2 linked regions of the Caenorhabditis elegans genome follow. The protein of the gene in region 1 interacts with the protein of each later gene in a biochemical or structural test. Each region holds a gene or a part of one and is shown in the gene's direction. Other genes may lie near its edges.

Evidence for each region. Proteins that work in one complex are often made in the same cells at the same time.
Region 2: of the proteins of kin-29 (region 1) and hda-4, one has a biochemical effect on the other in vitro, tested with the Caenorhabditis elegans proteins (one study listed by BioGRID).

The regions. Positions count from the first base shown.
Region 1 is NC_003284.9:2,849,512-2,854,350, reverse strand, and holds the start of kin-29 (Serine/threonine-protein kinase kin-29), read left to right. Parts: upstream 1-1,830; 5' UTR 1,831-1,963; coding exon 1,964-1,999; intron 2,000-3,388; coding exon 3,389-3,475; intron 3,476-4,071; coding exon 4,072-4,188; intron 4,189-4,234; coding exon 4,235-4,298; intron 4,299-4,346; coding exon 4,347-4,508; intron 4,509-4,567; coding exon 4,568-4,657; intron 4,658-4,707; coding exon 4,708-4,839. Other genes in the region: Zinc finger protein tra-4, read left to right, coding at 184-310, 363-409. UniProt on the Caenorhabditis elegans protein: Regulates chemoreceptor expression by phosphorylating the hda-4 class II histone deacetylase (HDAC) and inhibiting the gene repression functions of hda-4 and the mef-2 transcription factor, enabling the correct sensing and transduction of food signals.
Region 2 is NC_003284.9:16,727,887-16,732,571, forward strand, and holds the start of hda-4 (Histone deacetylase 4), read left to right. Parts: upstream 1-1,672; 5' UTR 1,673-1,676; coding exon 1,677-1,817; intron 1,818-2,681; exon of another isoform or gene 2,682-2,814; intron 2,815-4,685. UniProt on the Caenorhabditis elegans protein: Responsible for the deacetylation of lysine residues on the N-terminal part of the core histones (H2A, H2B, H3 and H4).

The DNA.
Region 1 (4,839 bases):
TTTTTGAAGGGGTGCTCTGAGATAGGATTAACATACATGTAAAAAAGAAGAAAAACAAAAAAGAAAAATCAATGTTATTACGGCGATGAAATCGAGGACTCACAATGAGATCAGATTATATCCTGGTGCCTGCCCTTTTGTCATGAATACCCTTATATGAACTTTTAATTATATTGATTCCAGGAACACAAGAGAGATGAGCATGGATATGTTTGCGCGATTTGTCACGAACGTCACGCGGAATACCCCGAGATGAAACATCACGTGTATGAAGAGCACGGAGGCTACCTGGCAGCAGATGAGCCGACAGGTATCACTGAAAAACGAATGACAGAATTTTTAAAATTGAATTTTAATTACAGCATACGTGGAGACTCCGCGGATGTGGATACTCTACAAAGGCGAGTGAAACTTCTTCATCATCACAGATCTTCATCAAAACTACCACACTTTCATTTGATACATTTTTTTTTCAATTTTTTGTTTGTTTTTGTTTCACTTCCCGATTATGTTAAAAAGGGTTTAATTTTGTCATTTAATGTTGATTGTACTATTACTGTAACACCTCTTACTTTTTTTCAGACCATGGACGTGTTTTAATGTTTTAATCTAGCGTGCTATCAATCATTCAACTTTATTCATGATATACACACAAATAAATCAGGTTACTATATGTAGATATTTTGAAATTTATGACATAGTTCACATTGAATTGCTGAACCTTTCGCTTTTTTGTTTTTTTTTTGCATTTTTGTTACCATGATAACTTACAGGAAATGCTCAGGTGGTAGGACGGTAGCAATCATGAGAAATACAAGTCCTGCCTCCCTTTAGGTTCCCACAACCTTAACGGAAAATATTGGCCACAGTCACTGGCTTGGACGTGGCTTAAAATAAAGCCTAGTGGGAGTACCACCGGGCAGTGTACTTGACTTTCAGATGCGCGGTGCATGGCGCTTCACGTGGTGTGTGGCTGTGCCATCAGGGTTTGATCTACAAAAAATGCGGGAATTTTTTGCCTTTAAAAATTTGACGAGAACTCTGCGTCTCACCTCCCGCATTTTTTGTAGATCTACATAAAGCAAACCAAAATGGGACAATCTAACACCACGTGGTGCTTGAAGAACGGATCAAACTTGAATCCTTCAATGTTTTTAATTTCAAGTATTTTTAATTGGAAAAGTTATAGTTCCATTGGCATTTTTTATTTTAGAGTCCTAACTATCAATCAACTTTTTTATAACATATACACATATAAGTCAAGTGACTATAATTTGAAATTTATTACAATGCTCATATACAAATGCTGAATGATTTTTATCATTATAAAAACTACGTGAATTAATTTGTTGGTGGTTTAAAAGTTTATTTTCTTGAACTTGCTCAAGCAGTGCGATCTCCGCCGCCCGGTTGAGCTCCTCAAGGCATTGTATGAGTCAGTGTGAGAGATCAGCAAGAAGCGACGAGAGTTCTTAACGGGACCCGGGCACGCGTGGAGAAAGAGAGAGACGCAAATCCGAGACATTGAGAAAAAGAGACAGTGGTCGCTGGACGGGTGCGTTTTTCCTGTGTATGTGTGTCTGTTTGTGTGTGTGTGCGTGTGTGCGGGCCCCCCGCTGCCTTAGTCCAAAGTGTGAGAGTGAGAGAGAGGATGGTGGGAGAAGATGGGAAAAAAGCGGCGCGGAAAATCGAGAAACACAGTGCGGGAAAGAAAGCGAATAGGAATTGTGTGCGAGCGCGCCATGGCGGTGAGCGTTATTGAGTGTATTGGAAGGCGAGCGTGAGAGAAGAAGAGACGCCGAGGCGGCGGCGGAGGCGGCGGCAATGAGCGTTAGTGAGTGAGTGGGTGAGTGAGAGCGTGTATGTATGTATATGTGCGTCTGGTGGTAAAACTCTATGCACTCTCTGTTTTAACTTACGACACTATCTTGTCGCATTCAGGCGCCGCCACACCAACACTGCAATGGCTGCGCCACGGCGGCGTATGGGCCTTGAAAAGGTGGGTGTTCTTCTCTCTGTTCCATTCTTTGTTCTCAATTTCCCTTCCCCACACACACAAAACACCCACACTTAATTGAATGGTGCCTAGTTAATTGACTTGTTCGGCGTGCGATTGCACTTTATTTTTTCTCCCCATTCATTTAAGGTCACACAATTTACATAAAATATGTATGTAAAAACATTGCGCAATCTACCGTGAGAAGGTGCGTTTTGTCGTTTTTGTTTCCCGCCATAGAACAGTCTTTTTCTGATTTTATCGTTTAATGCCCAAGCAAATTCCCACGCATCCGTTCGACAGTCGGCAATAAATCAACGAGCGCCGAGAGTTTAACGGCAGAACATAAAGATGGATGCTTGAGAGTTTTTCTTTTTTTTTCGTCCGACAAATTTTTGCACAGCATTTTTGACCGCTTTACGTCATGCAACGTTTTTAGCAAGAAGTTAAAAAAATAAAATAGATTAAAAGTGGAGTAGCGTCAGTTGTGAATTTAAAAAATTGCTATCTCACCACACCACAGTAATCAAATAACAGTTAAAAACATTTTTAAAAAAGTTGAATTTTATGATTTTTTGAAAATTGGAAAAAATCCCAGTTTTCGCCACTTTTTGGAAGTTGTCGATAAAAAAAGGTTTTTAACAAATTCTCCACTGGCGCTACTCCACCTTTAAAACAATGTTCCATAAAAAAACCTGCGTAGTTTTTTTTTTGGAAAAAAAATCATTACTTCCTTTCATGTTAGTTGGTTTCCGATGCGATTATGCAGTTGCATAAAAAATCTTTCCCACATTTTCTAAATTTAAGATTCTCCATTGCATTCGAATTACTATGGAAACAAAGTGCAGATAAACCGTAAAACGTAAAAAGTTTATTTTCTTAAAAATTCAAAATTTCCTTGACGAAGAGTGTTGCAATTTCGATTCTGCCAAAACACAACTTAAACCGATGTTATTGAACTTTCATTGATGGAAAATGTGGTAAAACAGCATATTACACAATCATTTCACGTAGCCAATTGATTTAATTCGAAGTGATAGTAGGACTGTTTGCATGATCAAAGTTTGACAAACTTGTATTCGAATAGATATTTTGCCTGACTAGCAACCCTTCAAATTGCGGTGGTGATGTTCATAATGATGGGAGAGAATGAGTCAAAATGTATTGTTGTCGATTATAATTGGATTTGGTTTTTTGTTCGTCAGTCTGCACGCGCTCCGCATATGGGGGTTAAGAGCAAAACGTGCGTCCGCCTGGTTGAACGATTCTCATTCACAAGAACAAATATTGCTAATATAGTGAATAGTGGAAAGTGTTTTGTACAGAAGGCGAAAAGAAGGAAAACAACTGAAACAGTACCATCATTATTATGTACAAAACAATTCGTTTCAGATAGGCCTGTATGATGTTGGTCGGGCAATTGGCAAAGGCAATTTTGCCACAGTTCGGATAGCGCGGCACAAGATTGCTAAGACTAAGGTTTGTCCGGTTTTATTTTTCAGGTTCAAAAAGTCATGAATCGTTTAGATATCATTGTAAAAGTTAAAAGAAAGGTTTTGAAACTTTACAGTTACAGTCAAAGATATGCTTGAAAGTTCATAAAAAACACTAAGCTTGTGAAAAAATCCCATTTTTTGAAAAGTTGTCAATTTGCATTAGACTTCAAGAAACTTCATTCTGATATAAATTTTTTTTTATCCAGTGCCGCTTTATTAATCTTAAAGTTTTTTATTGAGTGAGTATATAAATTCAAAAAAATTAGGTACTTGTGCAGAATACCTGGCCCAACATAATCAATCGTTTTGAACAATTTTAGAATTTTTTTCCGGAAATTTTTAACTATGAGACAATTTTTGAGCACTTTTTCGGTAGCTTCAAATTAATTAATAGCTATTTTCAGCTTAAAAAAATTTCTATATTTTATCACAAAGTTTAATGAAACAATATTTAGAGAGCATGCCACACTGGCTTTTTTTGTTGAATTTCCTATGTGCACTGTAAAATTCAAATACTCATTCCATGTACATTTCTGGAATGCTCACTCTTAATAATGCAGCAAAACATACAAATTGCAGGTGGCAATCAAGAGTATCGATGTGTCAGCGTTAGACCGAGAAAATCTGATAAAATTGGAACGAGAAGTGAAAATTGTAAAAGTGATCGATCACCCGCATATTGTTAAAAGTTATGAGGTGAGTTCATATTGTCAAATCCCTCATGTTATAGCTTTATTTTCAGATAATGAGGGTTGACAACATGTTGTACATTGTAAGCGAATACTGTAGCAGTGGAGAGTTATATGGTATAATTATGATGTGTATGGAAAAATTCGGCAAAGTTGTTTTTCCAGAGACACTGATAGAAAAGGGTCGGGTAGCGGAAAATGTTGCTCGGAAATGGTTTTCTGAAACTGCGTCCGCTGTTGCATATCTTCATTCGCAAGGAATTGTTCATCGAGATTTAAAAGCTGAAAACATTCTACTAGGCAAAAATTCGAACATTAAAATTATTGGTAAGAGATTATAGTTTGAAACCCACGAAAAGGAATGCTGAATTCTTATATTTTTTCAGATTTTGGGTTTTCAAATTTTCAAACCGGCGATCAACTTTTGAACACATGGTGCGGATCACCACCCTACGCCGCACCAGAATTGTTATTAGGTTTGTGAGAACTTTGCCATTTTTTCTCTTATTCCAAGCCAACGTTGCAGGTAACTCGTACGACGGCATGAAAGCTGATATCTGGTCCATGGGGGTGTTGCTATACATTCTCGTTGCCGGCGGATTTCCTTTCCCGAGTGATTCAGTGAACAAACTCAAGAGATCCGTTCTCTCTGGCCTGG
Region 2 (4,685 bases), about 14 Mb from region 1:
ATCCAAAATCAGAATATTACGTTCAAATCGAAATATACCCTTTGAGGATTTTTTTCAAATGTTTTATCATAAACCATACATTTTGCAAGTAACTTTTCGTCGTGCCGATTTGTTTCTGATCTTTAGAAATTGATAATTTTAATGTTGATAAAAATTATATTTTACTTCTCTTCAAATCAGTTTCTGAAAACTAGAATCGAGAATTGATCGTTTCTTTTCACGGCGGATTCTGTGTCTCATTTCTCCAATTGGAATTGAATAGCTAACATAATGCGGACTCTTTCTCTGTCAGCATCAAAAAGTTTCTTTATATCTTCTCCTTTCTTTGGTCTTTCCCCCACTTTTTTTTCCGCAGCCCAATTCTCATTCCAACTTCTGATGTTGAATTTTGCATTGTGGTTGCTAGTTTCCAATTTTTACCTTTTTCTTGTTTTGCTAGAGTACATCTATGACGTACTTCGTCATAAATTACTGATGAGAGCTTCTGCGTCCGTTCAACACCTCCGCATTCCGGTGGTGAAATGAGATATTCTGCAAAAAGTAATTGAATATGAAATTTATAAACAATTAGGTTTTGAGGGGAAACTTTTGCTTCGGTTATTTGATTTCGGAAGGGGTAGACGATCTGTTCAAAGGTTTGTAAAATCATTGGACATTTTCGAGCAAAATTTAGAGTAAATCGGTGCATATTTTCTGAAAGTACAACAACCAAAAGTTCAAATTGATCTAACGGAGTATATAATTTGCTTTCACTGTTAGAGCTCAGTTTTTTTAACCAAAAATTACATTTCAAATGTTTATTTAGCGCCAAAGGATAATTCTGAACATTTTCAGTGCATCTTTCCAGTTTATTCGATTCCCTAAAAACCTGAAAAAAGTGACATTTTCCAAAAACAATTCAAATTAAATAAATTTATGCAAGTATTCAAAATGATTTTTATGTTTAGAAAACAATCATTTGTTGACGGTTTTTTGAAAAAAAACCATTTTTTAAAAGATTTGTTTCCTGTGTCCCACTAGAATGTTGAAAAAATAAGTTGTGTGATGAGCCAGAAAAGTAACAGAAGCTGAAGAGACCCCGACTTTTGCTCCTTTCCGACGACTCTTTTCATTTTTAAACTCTGTCGCGGGTGGTCTTTTCATCTTCCGAGGTAGCATTGTTTTGAAAACTTGCTTTAACACCATTTTTCTCCCATTCTTTTCACACCTTGCTCTGCACAAAACTCTTTGTTTTTTGTTTTTTTTTTGATTTTGGCTTGTTTCAGTCTTTGAGATTTTTATCTCTGTTCTAGTCTTCCATATGTGTAAAAAATATACAAACACAGAGGCTACGAGGCTATCAATAAATGATACCAGCTGTTATTATATCATTTCTTCTTGAAACCGGAGCTTCCTTTACACAATGCCGCAAATTCTTAGTTTCTACTTTCACACCTATCATGTTTTGAAAGGGCTTTTTTTGAAAATTGTTATACATAATAAATATTGCAACATCTCTCCTTCAAACATTTTAATTTTTTAATAACTTAACATACATTTATTTTTAATATAAGTGTATTGAACCTTCGAACATAAATTTTCAAACTAGAGTATATGCCAATTTATTTTCATAATTATATTCTGGCATCATCTATAACTCGGATCATTTTTAATATTGTTTCCATTTTTGCAGGCGTATGGAAGAAGCCAGCTCCTCAACGGGGAGCGCTGGTGGGGCTGGACCAAGTGTTCCCAACTTGCCATCAACATCAGAAGCTGCCATAGGACAGACGAATCTTGAGCCGGAAAGTATTGCTCTTCTTCAATCACAGCTTCAGGTGAGTCTATTTTTTTTATTGTATAACTTTCTAATCTGGATCTAACTTCTAGCATCAGTCAATTTTTGGCAAAAGTTTGTTATTTTTATTTAGCATCACAGTCTTTATTTTTAAGATTCATTTTTTGTAGATTCACCATAAATTCTATAAATGTTTTTTGAAAATTAAAAAAAATCAGAAATTGATTGGCTAGTTTTTGATTAAAAAAGTTGTGAAGAACTTGATAAACTTTGTTATTAAGTCTCTAAATAGTTGAAAATATTTTTTAAAAAACCTTGGCTAATATGACCGAATTGTTTTTTTTTTCAAAAAATAAAAGGAAAATAAAAAGAAATCTACATCCAATTAAACCGTTATCATCTTTAAAAACTGAAAAAAAATTTGTAATAAAATGAATGCGAATTTTCTAGATTTTTTGATGATTTTTTTTTGCAATTTTGAACAGAATAAAATAAAACTCGAACTTAGAGTTAGTATGTTTAGTTCACAGTAAAACAGCTGAAAATTTGGCAAACAATATTGCAAAAAAAAAACAACTAAATATTACCGGAAAATGCCTGATTTGCGCTAGGAATTTTAAACTAGTTAATTCATTCAAATAATTTTTTGCAAAATTGGAATCAAAAACTTTAAAAAATATATTAGGTCATTATGGCCCATTTTCTTAAATCTAAAAGAAAATCCCAATTGACTTTACCGTTAGCTTTGTATGTTCTACATAGCATCATAGCTCAAGTATTACGTATCGTTCCAAAATACATTCCCATCAGATGAGTGTATTTTCAGCTAGAAATAGTCCAATGACACACCCACTCTCTCTCTCTCTCTCTCATGCCTTTTTTTCTCTCTAAAAACGGGCGAAATGAAAGATAGGAGAAGAGGTTATTTCCGGATGTGTCGAAAATAGAAGCCTGGAAAACCTGACGATGTTGTTTGTCGGTGTTTATCGATGAGAAGAGGGGTACATCATGATGAAAGGAGAGAGAAAAAAGAAAAAAATGGAAGAGAAGGGGAAGGAAAAGCAAGAGCTTGAAAATAGTTACATTCTCTACTATTCTGCCTTTTTTCTATTTTTGTCTCCTGTTTTCCCATGTTTCTTGGAAATTTTTTTTCAGAAGGACACCTCTTTGAGTTTGTCGAATTTTAGATCGTTTCAAGGAAACAACTTGAAAAAATGCTCAAATCTCTTTTTTAATATAGATGTTGAATGAAAATTGAATACACGAAATATTTCACTATTTTTGAATTTAAAAAAATGCCTAACCAGTAGATAAAATAGCACTTTTCTTGACGGAAAATTTTCACTGAACTTGGGGGCTCAGATCTTAGAATTTTCATATTCTGCACAAAGTAAACAATATTGATTAATTTTTTTCATGTAAGTTCACAGTTTTTAAAAAAAGAATGTTTTGTACTTTATACTAACGTAGTGTCACAATTTTCCTATATTTTGAAATACTTTGTAGTTCAATGTCTCGTTCAATACTTCATAATAAATTCCTGTCTAGCCCCCTTCTTGGTTCTAGAATTTCAAAAATTCATCATCTTCTACGCACCTTCAAGCAGCCTTATTGCCATTTCAGAGATCAGTTCACGAGACGGCGAGACCAATTTCCGAAGAATTCTTTCCGTGTTGCGCAGAGCCGGTGAATTCCAAGTGAACTGGGACTCTGAGAAAGATCTCTTCATTTATATAAAACGCTGAAAAACACGAGTCCCGCGCTGGATTTTTTTTTCTAGCTAGCTATTTAATACTCGAAAATAGATTATTTTTTCGAATTTTGCCTTCAGTATCTTCCTTGTTAAGTATCATTAAACGGTACTTGTGTATTATATGCCTTTATCCCGAAGTTAAGTAAAATCTCAGTAAATTTCTCCAGTAATAGTTTTTTTAGTATTCTTCCTGTACCTAACACCCCTGCCCAGTAGCTCACCAAAACGTAAAACTACGTATTAATTTAATCTGATTCAATTTTGAAAGATACTATGTATCTACATACTATGACTAATCAAATTTCCAAATTTGATCGTTCAAACTCAACTTGACAGGTTTTTGATCAAGTAGACTAGACTCGCCTAATTAGTTTTTTTTTGTTGTGAAACCCGGTGTCTAGATATCATTTATCTAATGAACTTGATAACTCGTAGAGATAGAACAAGTTATTTTGGTGCAGTTTTTCATTGAAAAACTTCACAATAACGAAGGAATTCTGAAATGTTTTCAACAATTTAGGAAATTTCCACAATTTTGTAAACGAATTTTATTTTTGAAAAAATTTACAAATGTCGTTAAGGACTATTTTAAGTCTCTTCTAGCAATACTAACCTTATAAATTTGCCTGTCGATTGAACTTGACTATAGACTTTTTATGGATTACATTGAAGAGTAAACTATAATATTTTTTCTTTACTTCTTCCCCCGGCTCTCTCAGAATTTATCTATTTACAAAAAAGTTACATCTATACACTGACTTGACTCTAGTTTCCTTGTTTTCCAGCACCTCGTTTATATTTTTGTTTCTCGATAAAAGTGCATCGAACAAAAAACAAGATCTTTTGGCGACAAGTAATCCAAGTACTTCTGACCTCATTTAGCAGTGGTGACACTCATTTTTCTCGCCTCGTCAAAACATGATCGACCTCATGTGATAGAGGAAGCGATTTTGAGACATCAAGTAGCGGCAAAAAAAGCACATGCTTTTCGCCCCACTACTTTCTACTTTTTTTTTCTTCTTTCCGCTCCCAATTTTTTTCTTACTTCTTCTCATTCTCACACTCCAAAACACAAAGCTGATATCCCTCGACTTCTACACTACATATAAATGTTGTGTGTTTCCAACTCTCTCTCTATCTTCCTTTATCTCTGTG